3 linked regions of the Drosophila melanogaster genome follow. The protein of the gene in region 3 interacts with the protein of the main gene of each other region in a pairwise test. Each region holds a gene or a part of one and is shown on either strand. Other genes may lie near its edges.

The links.
Region 1: the proteins of Ote (region 3) and Med come close enough for resonance energy transfer, tested with the Drosophila melanogaster proteins (one study listed by BioGRID).
Region 2: the proteins of Ote (region 3) and Lam interact in a two-hybrid assay, tested with the Drosophila melanogaster proteins (2 studies listed by BioGRID).

Annotation. Positions count from the first base shown.
Region 1 is NT_033777.3:31,608,212-31,615,875, reverse strand, and holds Med (medea), read right to left. Parts: upstream 4,831-7,664; 5' UTR 4,196-4,830; coding exon 4,132-4,195; intron 3,898-4,131; coding exon 3,629-3,897; intron 3,566-3,628; exon of another isoform or gene 3,543-3,565; coding exon 3,188-3,542; intron 2,990-3,187; coding exon 2,768-2,989; intron 2,617-2,767; coding exon 2,002-2,616; intron 1,942-2,001; coding exon 1,659-1,941; intron 1,598-1,658; coding exon 1,429-1,597; intron 1,373-1,428; coding exon 1,246-1,372; intron 1,187-1,245; coding exon 975-1,186; 3' UTR 501-974; downstream 1-500. Other genes in the region: Mnat9 (microtubule-associated Nat9), read left to right, coding at 1-475.
Region 2 is NT_033779.5:5,539,441-5,547,142, forward strand, and holds Lam (lamin), read left to right. Parts: upstream 1-3,039; 5' UTR 3,040-3,220; intron 3,221-3,338; exon of another isoform or gene 3,339-3,884; 5' UTR 3,885-3,891; coding exon 3,892-4,354; intron 4,355-4,597; coding exon 4,598-5,301; intron 5,302-5,366; coding exon 5,367-6,068; 3' UTR 6,069-7,202; downstream 7,203-7,702. Other genes in the region: Hel25E (helicase at 25E), read right to left, coding at 191-204, 267-669, 729-860, 1,532-1,650, 1,713-1,896, 1,993-2,216, 2,283-2,481. UniProt on the Drosophila melanogaster protein: Lamins are components of the nuclear lamina, a fibrous layer on the nucleoplasmic side of the inner nuclear membrane, which is thought to provide a framework for the nuclear envelope and may also interact with chromatin.
Region 3 is NT_033778.4:18,274,104-18,280,394, forward strand, and holds Ote (otefin), read right to left. Parts: upstream 3,075-6,291; 5' UTR 2,977-3,074; coding exon 1,702-2,976; 3' UTR 1,504-1,701; downstream 1-1,503. Other genes in the region: pen-2 (presenilin enhancer), read left to right, coding at 3,518-3,578, 3,648-3,752, 3,827-3,966; sbb (scribbler), read right to left, coding at 6,000-6,073, 6,143-6,291. UniProt on the Drosophila melanogaster protein: Inner nuclear membrane protein. Involved in the attachment of membrane vesicles to chromatin during nuclear assembly, and is probably required for centrosome maturation and cell cycle progression during mitosis.

The DNA.
Region 1 (7,664 bases), on a different chromosome or scaffold from region 3:
GGAACTGACCTTAGAAGAGGAGCACGAGATGCAAAGGAGTTGGAGGGAGGACAGCGACAAGCTGACCTTCATTGTCCTGGATGCAGAGACTTATTCGCGTGATCAGGATGAGATTGCCGCCATGGTGGGCGACACCAATCTCTTCCTGCACCAAGATCCCGATAGCCAGATACCAACGGCGGAGGCGGAAATCATGATTGCCGAACCTTATGCACGGGGCAAGGGATTCGGCAGGGAAGCCATGCTCCTCATGCTCAAGTACGCCCAATCGCAGCCCCAGCTTAAATTGGATAAATTCGAGGTCAAGATCGACATGGACAACGCTGCATCGCTGCATTTGTTTAAGAGTTTTATGTTCGTGGAGACGCGTCGAGTGGAGATCTTCCACGAGGTCACCCTGGAGCGACCTATCACTCCAGATTGGATCAACTGGCTGGACCAGCAGGTGGATCTGCGTATGCAGTGCTATCAGTGAAAAGAAGCCTTTAGAATCGTAATTTCACGGTCTGTTTATTACACTTATGTTACATCTACTTGTTTCGCTTGCCTTATTTATGCTGCATTTTACATCAAATGAATGTATTTATGGGTGCATCGATGTCTCTTTTTGTTTCGCCCTGTGGCTTGGATGATTGTAATGCTGTGTATGCTTCTCGTTTTTTTTTTTTTTAATTTGTAATTTTCGTGGCAGGAAATGGACAACAAACATTGGCCGCTTGTTCAGTATCTCCGGTGTTGTGTGGGCGTATATTTAAGTATAGTACATAAAACTAGATGCTTAGTGCTTTACAGCTGCATACTTAAGACTTCTAAGTTGTTTCAATTTTTTATAAAAATTATTATCAAATAATCAAAGGCAAACATAATCGTAATCAGAATTGCAAATGAAAAACACAAAATCCGCAAATAGCTGACGGATAGCTGCCGCTAAAACTGAGTCCTTAGCATAGATGTGGGCCAATAATAAATACGGATTAGGCGGCGGCACGCGGGCCATCGATCGGCATGGCGTGCAGCACTTCGTCCAGCAGCTGCAGGGCGCGATGCAGGTGCACCTCGATCCAGCAGGGCGTTTCTTTGATGGACTGGCGTGGGTAGTCAGGTCCCCAGCCCTTGACGAAGCTCAGGCGCAGGATGCATAACCGGCGCAGATCGTCCACGCCAATTCCAGCCGCTGCTGTCATGCCTGGAATACCGCATCAACACATTAGTTTTCCCTAAATCAAACTGATTCCATCTACTTACTCCTTCCGCCGCCGCCCATTTGCTGATTGGCCACTCCGGCCACGGCTGCCGCCTGAGCAGCGGCCGCTGCCTGCGCATTGGTCGCCAGCGAGTGCATCTGCTGGTGGCACTGGCGCAGGTCAAACACCTGCATGAGAAAATGTATGTTAAGCTATCACATTAAACTCTCTTGATTGCACCAACCTTTATGCACGCGGCCGGATAAATCTTGTGCACAGCATCGCCAGGTGTGCGTCCTGCCTCGCGATCCAGATAATAGCTTTGTACGAAAACTGAATTGTCACTAAGACAGCGCAGCCAGACGTCGCCCTCCCCACGCAGATCCAATTGCACGCCCTTGCCGATGTGGAGCCTGCATGGAACTTGGTAATTAATCCCTGCTCTGCAAGTTACTCCCAGGGGGATGTACTCACCTGGCCCGTTCCGATTGTTCAGTGCGATGAACATTGCTCAAGGCGCCCAGACAGAATCGATTGCCTCCAGAGGGATCCACATAGCCGTCGATGATTACGTTCGGTTTCGCTGACGGCACCTTGAAGGTCTCGCCCACTTGCGTGTCCAACTCGAAGTATGCGATGGAGCACCAGTATTCCGGCGGCGGTTGGCGAGACAGGAGGCGTGGTTGCTGCTGTTGTTGTTGCTGCTGCGGAGGCGTCTGTTGCGGGGAGCCGAGGTCACCCGAAAGCGACGAATTCCCTGGAAAATGAAGGACAGGGATTACAAAGTCGCACAGTGGGCTACATAGCCTAGACTTACAGAAGCCCCCGGGTAGAGAGCGCGGATCTGGTGGTTGCATAGACTGCGTGTAGGTGAGGGTGTTGGGCCCTGTCCAGGTGCCAGCCGCACCGCCTCCGGCGCCAGCCTGAGCCCCAGCAGACCCAGTATTGGCCTGCACACCGGTCGGTGGCTGCTGCGGCTGCTGTGGTGTGGGTTGGGCTGTGCCAAAGACGCCACCACCTCCAACGGGAGCACTGCCCGCGGATCCTGGCTGCGACACGTAGCCGTTTTGCTGGGCGTGGACGGACGGGGCCACCGAGGTGCCACCCCCACCGGCACCTTGCATCTGACTAACAGGAGGTGGCTGTCCATAGTACTGCCCTCCAGCTGCTGCTCCACCGCCGGCATTAACTGATCCATTGGGCACACCGCCTGATTGCTGCTGTTGCTGCTGCTGCTGTTGTTGTTGCTGCTGCTGCTGCTGCTGCTGTTGTTGCATGGCCAGTGCGGAGGCGGGATCTGTGGGCGAATTGGCCTGGGTATGGTGCACCCCATTGCCCTGGGGATTCTGAGCCTGCTGCGGCGGGGGTGGGGGTGCCATCACGGGACCGGGATTCATTGGACCAGGCATGCCCGGCATACCGTGAGGCACAGCTGAAAGTTGATTTTGGGAAAAGATTAATGTGTATTCAACTAATTGTTAATAAGACAAATATTATAATAGTTTAAAATCCAACATATGAGAAAAATTGTAATTAAAATTCGATTTTCGAAGCTTCAACTATAATCAAGGCCATATCCTTACGGAGTGAGTGAGCAGCTGCCTGCGATTGTGCCTGCTGCTGCTGTGTAGGTTGCGGGGTTTGCTGCTGCGGCTGCTGCTGTTGTTGCTGCGGGGGCTGACCCAGCCGGGGGGGAGGCGGTACCATCCAAGAGCCACGCGACCCAGCAACTCCATCCTGGGGCTCGATTTTTGGTATTGTGCGCCCGGTGGGAAACATTGCACTCATGGGATTGGCATCGCCAACTACGCAAAGTCAACATAAAATCGCCAAAAGGAAACAAATATAAATAAATTATTAAAACCAAAGAAATAAACGAATGTAAACAATTAAGTAAAATGAACAATTCAGTTTAAAATTATAAATAATATAGAAAAATTATCAAGAAATCCAGTATCGAAAACTCAAACTATATCGAATTAATGTCAATACTGTAGTCTTACCATATTCAGAGGGACCCTGTGGATATCCGTAGCCGCCGGGCCCCACCATTTGCGTGGGATGGTGCTGTATGGTGCCGATGTCGTTGCCATCGATGTCCATGCTGCCCACCAGCGGACCCGCTGAGTATTCGTCCTTCACCAGGCGACTGGGGCCCGACTGCAGACTCAGGCCGGACAGATCGATGCCCGGAGAGACGACGCGCTCGTAGTGGTAGGGATTCACGCACACCGAGTCGCACTTGAGATCGAAGGCGAAGGCGCAGTACTTGACGTGCTTCAGCTCGTTCTTGTGCAGGTCAGGCCAGCGCCAAATCCGGGCGTATATGACGTGCGGAAAACCCTTGCGTCCAGCAACCTTCGATAGAGAATGGTAAAGTGGTAAGTTCATTGCTTATACACATTATCAAATTCGATGCAGAAAGTCTGAGAGACTCAACCTACCTGCAAGCGACCATCGAGGGTGCGCTGTATGGTCACGCACTTGCTGGGATGGGCTCCGTTCGTGGTGATGGCCGTGATCAAGGAGTCCAGTTCGTCGCGCTTCTCCTTGAGCTTTTTGACCAGCGACTCGATGGCTCGCTTGGCAAATCCCTCGCTTTCGCCGCCCTGCCGATGGCACATCAGCGAGTGGACGATGCTCAGACAGGCGTCCGCCGATGTGGGGGCGTTCGAGGGCGGCGGCGGCATTTGCACCATGTCCCGGACAATTACTGCAGATGGTGGGGGTAATTAGCTCTGAGTTTTTTTAGTAGATCAACGGATACTGTACAGCTCAATCCAATTTCATTTTAAATTTCAAAGAGTTTCAAGTTTATCAACAGTAAATAATAATGCTACGGTAAGATTTAGGATTGTCCACAATACTTGGCCACAAATCGATTTTAGAATAACAACTCGAAAAGGAGTTCACTATGACTGCTGCTCCTCTAGAGAACTTCACTTACTGTCCTGCGGGGCTACGGCGCCGTACATGTGGGCGGGCGGACACGCCCCCGAGCCGCCGCCCATGCCAAAGTCCTGGGCGAGCGAGCCCAGAGTGCGAGCATGGGCATCCACGGCGGCGTTGTTGCTGGATCCGGATCCGGAATGGGGATCGTGAGCGGCGGAGAGCGGAGTGGGGATCGTACGGTGGCTGGAGCAGGCGTAATCGAAGCCGGCGGCGGGCAAAAACAAGGCGTAGAATCACTGGCCAAAGAAAAGCCAAACAAAGGCGGCACGCGAATGTGAGCACAAAACAAACGGCGGCTGGATGGCTTTGTGTGAGTGGGCTTGGGGGGTGTTGCACACACGCATACACACACACACGCGCGCGCTGAACTAACTCGACTTGAACTCCCACAAAGTTGGCGTAATTTCCCTGCGAAAACTCTCCTCTCCTTCGTCTTCTCCACCTCCTTCTTTACGCACACTGGCACACGCACTGCACACACACACGCCCAGCGAGAAGTTTCCTGCTCAAATCCTTGGTAGAGACTGGCTTTTACTGTTTTTCGTGGAATTTCATAGTTTGCACTTAATTGGCTGCTTGGGAAACTCGAAAGTACAATTTTCCGCCCGACGAAATCCAGTTTTCCAGCCAATTTGCCTTTTTTTCCTTTTTTATTTTGTTGCGGCTGTGCAGAGTGACCGTTTCGCGATACAACATGGGCGGGCGTTGCCAGATGGGCAAAGCGCGAAATACCTACCTTGGATTTTTACAAACACCTAGTTTGGTCAGTTCTCGAAGATTTGATTTGAGAATAAGTTTATATTTTTTGGAAATAAGAAGCAAGAAAAGCAGATACTGATCAAAACGCAGAGGCATCCGGGTAAGTGCCATGAGATTTGTTACACCGACTTACACTCATTTCGCGGGCTGTTCAGTGCGTAAAACGAACTTTTTGAAAGGCCGAAAATCAATCGCCACGCGTTTTTTCCCATTCGCATGTGTGTGTGTGTGTGACGAAATTGAGGAAAGTTTCTTATCGTTGAGATTGGGGAAAATCGAAGGCTGAACATCTTGTGCAACAAGTTAATTGATGTTTTCGCATTCCCATTGAAAAGTTTCTTTCCATTGCTTTAATTGCTAAAATTCATTCATAAAAAATTGCCGTTGATGAGTCGTTTGTGTGACAGGTTGTTTCTAGAAATATGCATGTGTGTGTAGTGGGGCCTGAAATAGACCACCCCCTTCCCCTCTTCTCTTGAAAATGTTCACTTGGCAACAGTAACGAATTTCCTTTTCGCCGGAAATGCATTTCTCCGGCTTTTGTAAAACAGTTTGCTGCGTAGTTTCCATCTTCAAAATATCTTATCAAAATGCGTAATTTCAACGCTTATCTGAACGGAATTTCGATTTGCGGCGTACATATGTAAATATGTTTATATTTTGGCAATGACATTGATTGTGAAATTATGTGTGGGAAGTTTGCGATTCCCTGCCAAAACAGAAGCTTCCATTTGTAATAGTAATTTGGGAACTCAATTTAACTTCGAGGATTTGTTGCCCTCATATTTTTTAATTCCCTAACTAATTAAATCACTTGTCATAAAATTGTCTACATCCCGCATTCAGAAGCATAAAGTTATTATTTAATCCCTATCAGGCTTACGGTGTTGAAAATTGTTCGACACCAAAAAGAATTATTGCGGGCTTATTTGAGTTCGGTGTTCAAAATTGTTCGACATCAAAAAAGAATTATTGCGGGCTTATTAGGGTTCGATAACATTACAGCGAAATGTTAGTTAACAGAGAGAATCGAATAACATACACATCGATAGTGAGGGACTATCGCTTCCGCTGGCTTAGGGTATTTTATAGTACAAATTTCAGTTCGCACCAAATCTGTGGAACTTGTAGGCCTACTGGTAACACTGGTCGCTCACAATATTCTTCATTCGTAAAAAAACAACAAAGCGGAGAAGTACCGTTTTTGCGAGCGCGAGTGTTTGAATGTGTTTGTTTGCTTAGGAATAGAAAATAGAAATTGAAAAGGACCAAGTGCAAACGTACAAAGCTTTGCTAAAGCAGAACTAAAAAAAATCAGCAGGAGGAAAATGCACAGCTGATGGAGAAAAGTCCCAAGCACCTTCAGCCCAGTGTGTGTGGGAAAAATCGATCCGCAGACGGGAAAAATTGAGGATAAAATGCCAGCCTAATAAACAGAGTTCCAATTGTGATACAAACGCAGTACAAATTAGTTAACAACTAGCTTAAATGGCCAACGACAAGGTTTTATAGCTAACTATCTGACGCAATTGAATAAGCGTAAAGCTGCCAGCCAATTTATTCACTTATTTTCGAGTGCAATAGAAGCAAAAATTCACAACTAAACAAAGTTCATCTCAACATTCCTGCGCAACACAAAACAACAAAATGGCTGTAAAAACGTAAGAAAATGCTAAATTTATTTAAGAGTGGAAAAGTCGATAAAATGCAAAAAGAGAATCAAGGTTTTTTTCTTCATCTATCAGATGATTTTGTTTGTAGGAAAAAAGAAATTATATTAGGCATACATACAAAATTCGTTCATTTACGTGTTTGTTTCGCTTCCATTTGTTTCACAGCTGTTTGTCTGGTGTTTGTGTGTGTAAGCGAGAGAGTGGATTTGGGGTCCGCTATTCGTAGGTCGTTGCTTACAGAGTGAGCGAGAGGGTCGAACGAGGGGTGGGCGAGGAACTATGCTGCTTGCAGTGGTATGTGTGTTTGAGGGGCTGTGCTTTTTATGCAAGCTGTACAACATACATATGTAATGAGACTAATGTACGCCTTTGTTTCCTTGGCACCGCCTTATTCGCCTAGAAAACCCATTCCTATTGCCTTCCCCCATTTGCATATCTGTTTTATTTCCAATTTGCGTCAATTGTTTTACTTCATATTCCCCTTTTCCTTTGTTGTTCTCCCCACAATTTGTGTGTTCCGCTTCCAAAGTTCCCTTGCCATCGTACACACACGCGAGCTGCAAACAAAGACTTTGTATGTGTGTATGTTGTTCCCATTCGGATTTTTACCTCATACACACACTCACACCAGCACAGCAACTTGATTGGTTTGGGAGTGTGCGTGCTCTGGCTTGGAATTGCGTCAGCCAAAAATAAAATATGTGCGACGGATAAAACTACTTGTTTTCGTTTCAAAAACACTTTTGCTCATTTTAGGAAGCAACTTGTTTCTGGAAAACACAAGTAACAACTGCTATTACATTCCGTTTTGTACCCCGTTTCTCCTGATTTCACCTTCAGCGCATTTACTTTGTTTTCTGGGTCATATTTGTTGATTTCAATTTGTTGCGCAGTCGCAAAGTCGCGCAGAATTGCTTAATTTGTTGATTTTCATATTTTCCATAGCCTCCAAAATAATATAAATACAACGCATAAAACGACCCCACGCACGCATACTAATGAAACAGTTGGGTTGGTGTGGGTGTGTGGGTGTTGCTGTACCGTTGTTTTATTTATTCCTCTCCACACTTGTTTACATGTAAAAAGGTCTCTTCTA
Region 2 (7,702 bases), on a different chromosome or scaffold from region 3:
AAATGTGAAACAAGTGGGTTTTAGAATCCATTCCCAAAATAAATACATTACTTATAATTCCGTTTTTGTTTGTCAACACATTGTCTGAATAGTTTTTATTTAGTTATAAAGTAGAGTTTTAAAAAAGGTTTTAGGTTTGTATCTATTCGAAGTGCATAGTCTTGTTCCGATTAACATGCACCTTCGAGCTCTAGCGTCCCTCAACTGGAAAAGAAAATCAAGTTAGCACTGCTGGTGGCTGGGGATTACTCATCATTGCAACTTACTGTATGTAGAGAGATCGATTTCCTCGGGCAGCTCACTGATGTTCACATCGAAACGATCCTGTACTTCGTTAAGTATCTTGGCGTCGTTCTCGTCCGAAACGAATGTGATTGCCAGTCCCTTGGTGCCGAAGCGACCGGCACGGGCCACGCGATGCAAGTAGGTGTCGGAATCCTCGGGCATGTCGTAGTTGAACACGATGTTCACACGCTCGATGTCCATGCCGCGGCCAAAGAGATTGGTGGCCACCAGAATGCGCTTCTGGAAGTCCTTGAACTGCTGGTAGCGATTCAGACGCTCCTCCTGGGTCATCCCACGATGGATGCCGATGGCGGGGAAGTTCTGCTCCGTCAGCAGCTGCGACAGAGCCACGCAACGTTGCACAGACTTCACAAAGATGACCACCTATGACAGGGATAATCAAGTAAGTGGTAAATATAAGTTAAGACCACCGAATGACCTACCTGATTGAACTCGAGCACGTCGAGCAGTTCGAACAGTTTCTTGTTCTTCTCGTTCTCCTTCAGATTGACGTAGTGCTGCTGCAGTCCGTGCAGCGTCAGCTTGGCCTCATCGTCGACGTAGACCTCCATGGGCTGGATTTGGGAAATAGAATGTGGCGCATTTTAAAGGACACAATTAGGAGGGGTACAGAGAAATCGAACTTAGACTAGGCTCGCCTCGGAACATACAACAATATGCATAGAATATTCTACATACGGCCACGCTACCACCACATCTCATCAACTAGTCTCTGAACTGCTCCCGAGGATCGATGATCGCTCTGAGAAGTGTGCGGATTACAGATGAGCGGGCCTATCGCATCGCATTCGCTCTGGATTGATTCAACTCGTCTCATCGGCCAGTCGGCGGGATCTTTGCTGTTTGCTTGTAGTTTTATTTAGGTATTGGTTTTTGCTAGCGTTGGTATTGTTAAATCTTTTGCGATTTCAATTGATTCATTCAGCGGTTACTGCTTGTTTATGCTTTTGCAACGGTTGCCAATTTCCACGATTAACCATTTAGAAAATGGTGTCCGATAGTCATTAACTAAGTTTTTCGATACGAGTTATGCTCACAGAGCGCTGGACGTTTGGTTGTACGCGTTTAACCATTTGCAAGATGGTGGTTGGCTTATACGGAGGGGATCAAGATCGAATGTTCGATATCGCGTGGCATTAACAAAATAATAACTAATTGTCGTGATAGCGGTGGATGCGAGGTGGAGAAGTACGAGCATTTTGGTTATGAACACGTTGATATTTACATCTTGCATGAACTTTTTGCAAACGGGACGAATGTCCTTGCTCAATGTGGCAGAGAACATCATCACTTGTTTGCCGTGCGGCGTGCTACGGAAAATCTCTTGAACGTCACGACGCATATCTAAAAGAATGGTTTGGTTATTAGTAAAACGTCCGTCATTTGGTGATTATTAGTCAACTTACCCAGCTGCTCCAGCATCTTGTCGCACTCGTCGAGCACAAAGTGCTTCAAAAGCTTCAGATTAAGTTTCTTGTTGCGAATGAGGGCGAGAATTCGGCCAGGGGTGCCCACCACAATATGCGGGGTGCCGCTCTTGAGGGTCTCCTCGTCCTTTTGAATAGCCATTCCGCCAAAGAAGACAGCCACCTAAATAGAAAACATATCGAATTAATATATAGTAACTATATAGTCGAACCAAACTTTTTGTTGAATTATATACAATGGATTAAAACGTAGACTCACCTTGACTGTGGGCATGTACTTGGAGAATCGCTCATACTCCTTGCTGATCTGGAAGGCCAGCTCGCGGGTGTGGCACATGACCAGGACGTGGCAGGTGTTGTTGTCCGACGGCTCCAGCTGCTGCAGCGTGGCCAGAACGAAGACGGCGGTCTTACCCATGCCGGACTTGGCCTGACAGAGGATGTCCATGCCCAGTACGGCCTGCGGAATGCACTCGTGCTGAACTGCAAGCGGAGAGCATCGTTAGTGACTGTACCTTTCGTCACTCCAGGTGGAGTGCAAGTACTCACCCTCCGAGGGATGCTCGAAGCCGCAGTCCACGATGGCGCGCAGGATCTCCGGTTTCAGGAGGAAATCGCGGAAGCCGGAACTGTGAATGGACACATAGGTGCCCTTGACATCCTTCTTGGGGGCCTCCTGGTTTTCGACCGCAGTGGTCTCGGTCTGCTCCTCATCCTCGTAGTCCAAAAGATCGTCATTGTCGGCCATTTCTGCGGCTTTCTTACCTTTAACTAGTTATCGGCTATAAATTCGCAACTAAATGCTGGGAAATAAAATGGGTGCGACTAGATAAGTTACATGTGTTTGTTAAAGAAAATGCCGCTTTTTTTTGCGGAACCGGTGCCGGCGTTCCCTCCGCCATTTTGTTTTTTCACCGCACCGCATTACATGTATTTCGAAATAAAACGAAATACCCATTACAAGCGACGATTTTATTTAGTGCAGTGTGATTTTCAGTGTCAAACTCACCTTTTGTGCACGTTTATCACTTTAAAATACAGCTTTTAAAGTGAAATTAACTATTTTAAAATCTTTAACGTGATGCGGAGGAAAAAACAGCGCAGAGCAGTGTGACCGAAGTACGTTTAAGAACTCATGCGAGCTGAGCCGGGTGATATCGTTAAGTTATCGATAGTTGTGCACAACAAATCCATTTGTAAGCTTCAACTAAAAAGTTTTTATAAAATATATGCCTTCTAACGCTTTAAATTAAAATGGCTTGTTGAGCTTAAATTTAATTTTTTTTTTATCATTTTGGGGTCAAGCGGTTCTTAGTCTTTTATCTAGCGCGGCGTTTGGTCACACCAGGCATGCCGGAAAGTTATCGATTAGTCTCTGAAACCATCGCAACAAATTCGATTACACGTTCCAGCGTCGGCCGCGTTTTCCTGCTGCAAGATACTTCATTTTCAAATTTGTGCATTTTCCGTTCGTTATAAAAAGTCAGGTGAGTTGCGCTGCTATCTACGAGCATTAGGAAAACTTGTAGAAAAAGTTGAAATAACTGATTAAGTGCCGAACAATAGAGGCGGCACTGTTTCACTCAAAATCGAAATAACCCCCCTGCCTGTATTAGTGTAAAGTCGCTGTAAATATTGAATTAAAATCGCCATATTGTGCAATTTTTGGCTCCTTATCAAATCGTTTAAAGTGCGTCGACTGGATTAGCTAAGCGTTGCGATTGATTAAACTAGTATTAGCCGCGCCATTTGCCTCCACGCCCATAAACAAACGCCGACAAACTCACTTCGTTTTCCTCGTCCGCTTTAGTACAGTCGCTTGAGTGGAAAGCGATGTGCGTGTGTGTGAGTGAGACGTAGAGGAGACTGCGAGAGAGAGAGAGAGCGCGTTAGAGAAACTCGTTTAGCTTCTGTTTTTGAGCGTTTTGTGCGTTTCCCCTCTTTCGTGTTCGGTTCTGTTTGGAATTTTATCAGGGCGCAAAAATAACATACCCTACACCGAACGAAAAAGTTCAAATATAAGTATTGCATATAAAACGCGTTTAGAAGGCACGCAATTGTGTTATTCAACTTTTCTTCAAGTGTTGTGTCCTAAAGAGGTCAGTCACAAAAATCTCACGTGTTATTCTGCACATTTCATTTGTCTTGCAGCGTGAACATGTCGAGCAAATCCCGACGTGCTGGCACCGCCACGCCGCAGCCCGGCAACACCTCCACCCCCCGGCCGCCATCGGCGGGTCCGCAGCCGCCGCCGCCGTCCACTCACTCGCAGACGGCCTCCAGCCCCCTCAGCCCCACCCGGCACTCGCGCGTGGCCGAGAAGGTGGAGCTGCAGAACCTGAACGATCGCCTGGCCACCTACATTGACCGGGTGCGCAACCTGGAGACGGAGAACTCCCGCCTCACCATCGAGGTGCAGACCACCAGGGACACGGTCACACGCGAGACCACCAACATCAAGAACATCTTCGAGGCCGAGCTGCTGGAGACGCGCCGTCTGCTCGATGACACAGCTAGGGATCGCGCTCGTGCCGAGATCGATATCAAGCGTCTCTGGGAGGAGAACGAGGAGCTCAAGAACAAGCTGGACAAGAAGACCAAGGAGTGCACCACTGCTGAGGGTAAGTGCGTGGAAACTGAATCGATAAGAAAACCTTATAATTGTAGGGCAAAGAAAGTAGAGTAATGATAAAATTAAAAGTAAGAAGAGACAAAAGGCGTGGTTTCAAGCAAGAACGAAACATTCATTTAGTTGCTGAACTGTATATAATGATTATCCCATGATATTCCTCACTTTCTGTGACAAAATCATCCCTATTCTGGCATTTAACGAACATTAATTGATTGATTATCCCAACCCGCAGGCAATGTCCGCATGTACGAGTCGCGCGCCAACGAGCTGAACAACAAATACAACCAGGCCAACGCCGATCGGAAGAAGCTTAACGAAGACCTGAATGAGGCGCTAAAGGAGCTGGAGAGACTGCGTAAGCAGTTCGAGGAAACGCGGAAGAACCTGGAACAGGAGACACTGTCGCGCGTTGACCTGGAGAACACCATTCAGAGTCTGCGCGAGGAGCTCTCGTTCAAGGATCAGATCCATTCGCAGGAGATCAATGAGTCGCGCCGCATCAAACAGACAGAGTATAGCGAGATCGACGGTCGCCTCAGCTCCGAGTACGATGCCAAGTTGAAGCAGTCGCTGCAGGAGCTGCGCGCCCAGTACGAGGAGCAGATGCAGATTAATCGCGATGAAATCCAGTCCCTCTACGAGGACAAGATCCAACGACTGCAAGAGGCCGCCGCACGCACATCCAATTCCACGCACAAGTCCATCGAGGAGCTGCGCTCCACTCGTGTGCGTATCGATGCGCTCAACGCCAATATCAACGAACTGGAGCAAGCCAATGCCGACCTCAATGCGCGGATCCGTGATCTGGAGCGCCAGCTGGACAACGATCGCGAACGCCACGGTCAAGAGATAGACCTTCTCGAGAAGGAGCTCATTCGGCTGCGCGAAGAGATGACGCAACAGCTCAAGGAGTACCAGGACCTTATGGACATCAAGGTTAGCTTTAATACTTGTCTAAAATCGTGTACGTATTAATACATAAATCTAATTATCCTGCTTAGGTCTCCCTGGATTTGGAAATCGCCGCATACGACAAGCTGCTGGTGGGCGAGGAGGCTCGTTTGAACATCACCCCAGCCACCAACACGGCCACAGTGCAGTCCTTTAGCCAGTCGCTGCGCAACTCCACGCGAGCCACGCCATCGCGTCGCACTCCCTCTGCTGCCGTGAAGCGCAAACGCGCCGTGGTCGACGAGTCGGAGGATCACAGCGTCGCCGATTACTATGTGTCCGCCAGTGCCAAGGGCAACGTGGAGATCAAGGAGATCGATCCCGAGGGCAAGTTCGTAAGGCTGTTCAACAAGGGCAGCGAGGAGGTGGCCATCGGTGGCTGGCAGCTGCAGCGGCTAATCAACGAGAAAGGTCCTTCGACCACTTACAAGTTCCATCGATCGGTGAGGATCGAGCCAAATGGCGTGATCACCGTTTGGTCGGCGGACACCAAGGCCTCGCACGAGCCGCCATCGAGCCTTGTGATGAAGTCACAGAAGTGGGTCTCCGCCGACAACACTAGGACGATTTTGCTGAACTCCGAGGGCGAGGCCGTGGCCAATCTGGATCGCATCAAGCGCATTGTGTCCCAACACACATCCTCCTCCCGGCTGAGTCGTCGTCGCAGCGTGACCGCCGTGGACGGCAATGAGCAGCTCTACCACCAGCAGGGCGATCCTCAGCAGTCAAACGAGAAGTGCGCCATTATGTAAAATCAAACGCAGCACAACACAACTCTTTCCTCTTTGCTGAACAAGACAAACAAAATAAGCACACACGAAGATCATAATTTAGAACCCAAAAACACACACACCGAGGTACAGAGATTTATTATTCAGCTAAGTTATTTTTTGTGGCCGCAGCGCCAATTATTTAATCAAAAACATTTGTGTAGAAGACATCCTGAATCTTCGTTTCGTTTGTACACTTTCGTTTTCCCTTTCTTAACAAATTCTATAGTTTATTGTTTCGATGTTTTTGTATTTCCGCGTTAACTAATCTATTGTAAACTTTATTTGGTATAAACTGGAGAGGCATGTTGCCTCTTTTTTATGCCACATAGAATTTACGTAAGACGTTCACTTCTTGTATTCGCGGCGGCAAGAACTTTGAAAATATTGCAAGAAAAACAATATTTTCGATGTACTTACGCTCCACCTACATATTTAGTAAATTAGTTTTTAAGCTATATCCCAGATAAACCAGTCGACGTCAGCAAACAACAACAAAAAAAAAACAACGAGCACGTAGTGAGTGATTTATAAGATACAGGTCAAGAGGATTAACTAAAGAAAACAAACGCTCCTGACAACAGACATATTTATTTAAGTATTTTTTGTACAATCAACATAAAATACATTATACATTATACATACATATACATACATACATTATATATATAGACTCATGCCTACGGAAGTGACAACCAGCCAGCAATATATATTTTTAGCCATGGCCATAGGGTTTACGATCCACCAAAACGGCTTTCTCCCGGTTTAGACCGGTTCTTGAGCTTCCTGCAGACATTTTACCGGACGAGCAACAATAAGAACAGCAACAACAACAACAGCATTAACAGCAACAACACAAATGTACAACAATTACAAAAGCAACAAAGAAGAAAAACGAAAGAAAATGGAAGTACACGTAGCGGCTCAGCGATCCGTCGCATTTTTTATGGGTGGGCGTGGTCGCGTTTTACGCCGGCCAAACAAATGCAACGCCCACACAGACTATTATACAAAAACTGATGAATACAACTAAATTTTAAGTACATCTACGTTTATGTATGTAATTGCTAATAATTTGATAATTAAAAAATAAAGAAACCATGTTTAATAAAAATTAAAAACAAACTTTGATTTAGCAATAGAGAGAAAGACATAAAAAAGTATTAAATAGTTTTAAAGCGTATACTGAAACCAATAAGCTCCTACGAATTTCGTAATAGTAGGGTACGCATTTCACTTTCGACGCCTGGTGGCCCTTTTTTCGTCACTCGCTTTGCGTTTCTATTCGTCGCCATGAGTTATTTTTGGAATTTTAATTTTTCTGCGTCTGTATTAGTTGCCTACATGCTTTTTCAATGCGTGTGTTCGCTCATAAACTTTATTTTTGAGTGACTTATCGATTATTTTTGAGTGCAGGACGTTTCAAAACCAACGTGCTTTCGCATTTATAAATATAATTTCTCTTCTTCTTCCGACCATGATTGTTTCTTTTAAAAATGTTAGGTGTCAACCCTGTCGATAGAGAAGAGAGCAAAATCCACTCAAACGAAACGCACTCAACGCGAGAGATGCGGTTAAAGTTCGTTCAACTGGCAAATGCAGTGACCGTTTAACCC
Region 3 (6,291 bases):
TACGAGCGAATGTGTTGCTGCAACAGCAACTAGCAACAGCAGCAGCAACTAGCAGCAGCAACAGCAACTAGCGACCAACAGCAGCAGCAACAGTTTGTGTTGTGGTGCAAACGCATAATCGTAAAATTTGCAGTGGAATGTTGCAATATTTTTCGCGAGTCGCAAGCAATTTGCGCGTGAATTATTCCAAACGTTGCATTACAAATGATTTCAGCAGCGACCACAACGACCAGCGTCTTTAATTGGCTCACAACGAGGAAGTCATTGGCCCAGCAGCCAGGCAGTCGAGTCACCACCGCCACCTTCATAGTCCACCATCCGGCTGTTTTACTAGCCCACTCCTTGTTTTCCCTCCAGCCGCGAACGTGATGCAGACAAAAGTTTCGGTTTTGGCCATAAAATCATATTCCATGAATGTCACACTTGAGCGGCGGCAACCGAAGATGGGAAGCTGCTGGGACGCGGGTGTGTTGCTCTTGGGCGCTGATGTTCCTGCGGGGTTCTGGTGTTGGGTGTTGGTGCTGGTGGTTTTGCTGCTGCTGCTGCTGCAGCTGGTGGACCTGATGTTGCTCTGGGTGCTACGACTCTATTAACGTGTCGAGTGCGTGAAACTTTTTGCAGGCTTCCATTTAATTTCCATGGCCGATGGCTTGTTGCATTTGCCTAAGCAGCCATTGTTGCCTTTTCGAATTGCTGCGACTGTTGCTGCGACTGTTGCAGTTGCTTTGTTGCACTTCGGGACAGTCGTCAAAGTGATCGTGGTTGTCGTCTGCATCGTTGCTGCCATGTAGGTAATTCCTGGAAGTTAATTTCATTAAGAGCAACTAGCAATGCGCGGCGTATTTATTAGCCACACGATATATTGTATGGGCCATGGCTTTGTTTTTCAAGGAATCTGCCGCCTGGCTGTTCCATGCATTTGTGGAATTCATCATCGGCGGCGACTGGCGGTCGTGGCGGCCGTGGCAGCCGTGGCAGCAACATCCCCAGCACAACTGGCATTTCCCCCGAGCCACTGATGTTGCAATTTTCATAACTTATTGCTGGCATGCAAGTCAGACCCGGATCCGGTCGCGCTTGTTACCGCTAAATATGGCGCGAAATTTCCTTAAGAAAATAAAGAAATACGCGCAAGTGCGATTTCCAGTTAATAAAATTAAACAGCCCAACTCGGGCAAGGATTTTAAAATAACGCACACCGGCCGCCGAGCCGACTTGTAAAATTCTTATTAATTCTGATTGCAAGGCATTGCAAGGATCGCAGATCAGATCGCAGCAGGAACAATTTAGCTCAGATAAGAGCTGCGCTTGCCTGGTTGCCATTGCGCCTACATTTGGTCAGAGTCATGCCGACAAGTGTTGTACACGCATTCCAGATACTTTTCCATCATTAGCCGATCGTCGTTTGCTGCTGTTTCTTGATCCAATCTGGGCAAACACCTGCCACAAGTGGAGCGCAGTGAATCGAAAGCCGTTTGGAGAAAAAACATCAGAGCAAGTGTTCAACTGTGGAGATTCCCTGCAAGTGGGCTTTATTTGAACACGGATAACACGCAGCTTAAATGCTAGTCAAACTCAAGCTCAAGTTACATCAAAACAAGATTCATACAAAGACCGCGGCGGCAGTCTTGTTTACAAAACATATCCAACATGGTATACAAACTAGATTACAAATTCGAAATAAGAACAATGATGCGCCGGTCAGTAGAATATGTAATAAACGCCGATTAACAAAAGGACGAGGAGTACAATGAACAGCTTCGACTTGATGTGATACTTCTGCTCCAGGCTGTTCAACCAACGGTTAAAGGCCTCGGATACGCTGTTATCATTCGGGCGCAAGGAGCGCCTGGCACGCGGCTCATAGCCGAGAGAACCGCTACCCGCGTTTCCACTGGCCAGAGTGCGTCTGGAATACGGGCTGATGCGATCTCCAATCCGTTCGGCTCGCAAACGAGCTAGATTCCTGGCAAATGTGCTTTCGTACTGGTCTTCCTTGGAATCAGTGTCGTCGCTCAGCTCGTTAGCATAGGTACGCTTGTAGCTGGATGAGTAGGAGGCCACCGGCGGAGCCTCTGCAGTCACATAGCCTTGGGCTGCAGTACGCACAAAACTGCTATAGCGACCGGGTGCTGGGTTGCTCGCATAGTCATAGGACCTGGTGGAACTGGTGGTCTGCGCTCTGGCAGATGGCACAGATGGCGGCAGCACGGGAGCTGCTGTCGCTTCATAGACCTGTCGGCGTGGAGGCTCCACAACCTTGCTTTTGTACTCGTACGTAGTGGTGCCGCTGCTTGCGAGCTTCGTGGTCTTCTGTCTGGCCGCGTGCTCCTGCTCCACCAGATCTGCAGCCTGGACTAGCTGCTCGTCCTCTTCTTCATCGGACTCTAGGACAATCAGGGAGTTGACCTTAAGATAATTCTCCTCTCGATCAGCGCGCTTCGAGGAAGCCGGTTGCTCAACAATGGTTTCTGGCTTCCTCAAGGGCTCCACTACTTTCCTTTCAGACCCCGAGGAGGTGGAAGTGCGCCGGGTCTGTACGGGTTGAGCAGCAGGAGCAGTTGTTGGCTTCCTGGCGGCAACGGGCTCCTCGGATCGTAGGCGGTCGGCTTCGTCGGGGCGTCGGCGTATAGCTTCCTCGGGTAATCGACGCACTGGTTCCTTGGCCTCTGCAGCGGTAATTGTGCGCCGAGCCTTTGTGGCGGGCGCCACCTTGTTGCCATCCAGCTTGTCCACCGGCGTGGAGGCTGCCGCCGGAGCAGATGGTGCACCAGGTGCGGGAGCCAGGGTCTCCCGCCTGTTGGTCTTCTTGGGACTAGCGGCCGGCGACGCCTGGCCACCAATGGAGGCGCGCAGACGCTTTACTAGAACCTTCCGGCTGCTATCCGTCACGGGGATGTTGGGCAGCCCCTGTGCCAGCATCTTGGCGCGCAACTCAGCATTGGACAGAGAATCAAAATCGTCCACATCGGCCATTGTATGGTTTTTCGCACACTTTTAATAATTCGTTGAAAATTGAAATCGGCGTCGCTTTTACGCGGTGTGTGCTAAAATAGTGATGGCAGCAGTATTACCTATCGATGATTCTGTTTTAGGGGATATACAACACTGAAGTGGGCTTGACTTGTAACAGTTTTGGCGTTTTAAAAAAAGGGAACACAAGGAATGATGTTTCATACTAATCATCGCACACATCGCAAAATCGTGCAAACGTAATAAAACATCTATGCTATATTATTATATCGTTATTTACGTTAGATATTGGCAAATGAAACAGTGATCCAAGAGTCGCAGTTTAGCTCACCTCTGTTTCGATAACTTATCGATATCGATTGCGCTCCAATGGACTAAAAACTAAAACACAAATCAACAAAAGCAAAAATTGAAGTGAAAATATAAGCTATTACAATTTACATATTACATACAATTTACATATAAGTACGAAAAAACTTTCCTGGGCCGGAAACAGATTCGAAAACAAAGGAGCAAACACCCACATATTTGAAGAGGATTAATCATGGACATCTCAAAGGCACCAAATCCGCGAAAACTGGAGCTGTGTCGCAAATACTTCTTTGGTAAGAGTTACTACCAATGAGTAATGATTGGATTTTAACCAAGTTACTTTCTATTTGTCTCGAACTTAGCTGGCTTTGCATTTCTGCCCTTTGTGTGGGCCATTAACGTTTGCTGGTTTTTCACGGAGGCCTTCCATAAGCCACCATTTTCGGAGCAGAGCCAAATAAAGAGATGTAAGTCAATATATGAATAGATGCCCATGCCATACAGTCTAATATTCCACAATTTCTTTCCTACCTTCCTCCAGATGTTATATACTCTGCAGTGGGGACTCTATTCTGGCTGATAGTACTAACTGCCTGGATAATAATATTCCAGACAAATCGCACAGCCTGGGGCGCCACAGCGGACTATATGAGCTTCATCATACCCCTAGGCAGTGCATAGACATAACTAGATTAATTCGTTAGCAACTAATGATATTAAAAAAGACTTCATTCCTAAACAAAATTAACGTTTATTATTAATCCATCAGAAGTTCCCGTATATGACCCAAACAAAAGAAGTGCTGTTTTGATTTAATTACATATTTTTTATTCACATCTAAAGCTGTTTTTGTTTTTTATAATTTTCTGTATACTTTAAATATGTGTACTATATTTTGTTGAAATTTCTTAGCCGCTAGTTATGTGTTTTGTTCATATTCGTCCGCCCATATTTGAATGCTTGATTTAGCTTTAGTTAGCCATTTTGTGGATTACATTCTTTGCTTAGATACAATTTCATTGTTTCGAATTCAATTCAATGCGCTTTATCCATCTCTAAAATACATAATTTGTATAAAACTCTGCTTGTACCGTTGCATAAGCCATTATGGTAATTTGTTAAATCCCATTTAATTGTTTTGTTATGTTGTGTGTTTGTATCCGTGAGTCGAATGCCTCCTACGATTTGATTACAAATTGCATTAAGAATGTCAAAAAACCTAGCGACTCCTAAATGAGTGTAAGGAAAACACTCGCCGATCTACACATGAAGACATAATTCAAATTGCTATTATTCGGTAAATCGCTTGCATTTCGTTTGCGGTTAACAGCAAATGCTGCCAACACATATAGTAAATTACAATATTATGTATTAATGTTTATAACACGAACTTGGTGGCAAAGCACCTAAGCAGGGCCACCAAATCAATCAGTGGAACTAATTTACAATACAAAAGACTCGCTTTAAGGTATATTTACAATCAATACTTGTTTTATTTATAAATTCTAAAGAATCAATGTGTATTTGGGATAGGAAGCGGGATTTTTGAGGGCCAGATGGGAGCTTTCTCATTCAGTTTTTCTTTTTTTTTGGGCTTAGGCTACAGAACATTAAGTGCCATAAATCACGCGTGTAGAGTCTATGAAGCGGCTAGTGAATTACTACACACCCACATTCACATAGATAATCCTTTAATTACATATATATCTCGCCATCGTTATCATATCATATATGCAGCATATGCGTATAAATATTTAAAGTACAAATTGATGCTTAGAAACAATTAAAATTAATGTGCGGCTGCTGGCCGAAAAATTCATCGTAGTCATTCACGGAGAACTTATAAAGTAGAAACTACGGATACGAGTAGTACACACACAGATATAGATTTAGATACACATAATATATATTTATATTTATAAGAATTGAATGGGCGGCGCGCCCAATTTGTCTTTTAGATGCAAATCCCGCGCAGCTCCATCCGCAACACAGATAAGGATAATTAATACACACGCTAAATGCTAATCTTGTACGTTCTACTTGCATAATTTAATCATTTAGTTAAACAATATTCATACATTTCGATCTTTTCTTAATTTCATTTCTCGTACGTTTAGTTTTTATTTTTTTTTACAAAGAAATCAACACACTACAGTATCGAGTTTGATTCGTTTTTTTCCCTTTCATTTTTTGCATGTTTCATGTAATCTGTTTGTTGGTTGTGTTTGTTCATGTTCGGATTACGCCTCTCTCGTATGATATAAATATAAATATAGATATCTATATGCAGATGCAAATACACTTAGGAAAAAGTCGCTATATGTAGTTATGCTATATATATTTATATATGTATAGGTTGTATGTGGTAATAGTAGTGATACCTTAGGCTAGTTATAGTTAACCACATCGAACGAAACATCAAAAAATACTTATGCATATAAATAGTCGATTCTGTGTTCCTCTCGGTTCCTCGACCGCCGATGCATCAGCATCGAAAGGACTCGTTGAGGCAGCCAAGACTGTGACAGGTTTCGACGGGAAGAAGTTGGAATCCAACGGGGAACAAAGCCTTATCCTTCTCCCATTCTATCTGTCTGTCTGGGGATCTCAGAAAATAGCAAATGCACTATGGGGCGGGCACCATGACTTTCCGCTCCACACTAGTTGTTCTTTACGTTATACGCCTTCTTCTCGTTGTTACCGTTCAGTGGATCTCATTTCGACGGACCCGGCGGAAACGGGTTTATCACAGCTACAGCAGCCGCCTGCTGGCTAGCCAAAACAGCCGCTATGGGAGTAAACATTTAAATGATTAGCATTCAACTTTCCGAACTGAATAGCACAGTTGGGGACTCACCTCCATACGGCGCCGGGTACATGGGATAGCCGAGGCCGACGTGCGTGTGGTGGTGGGTGTGCACATGGCGCTGCGGTGGTGGGCTGCGTGAGTCGGCGGCACCTGCACCGCCGCCTCCCGCTGCGCCATTGCCGGCAGCGCCTCCCACA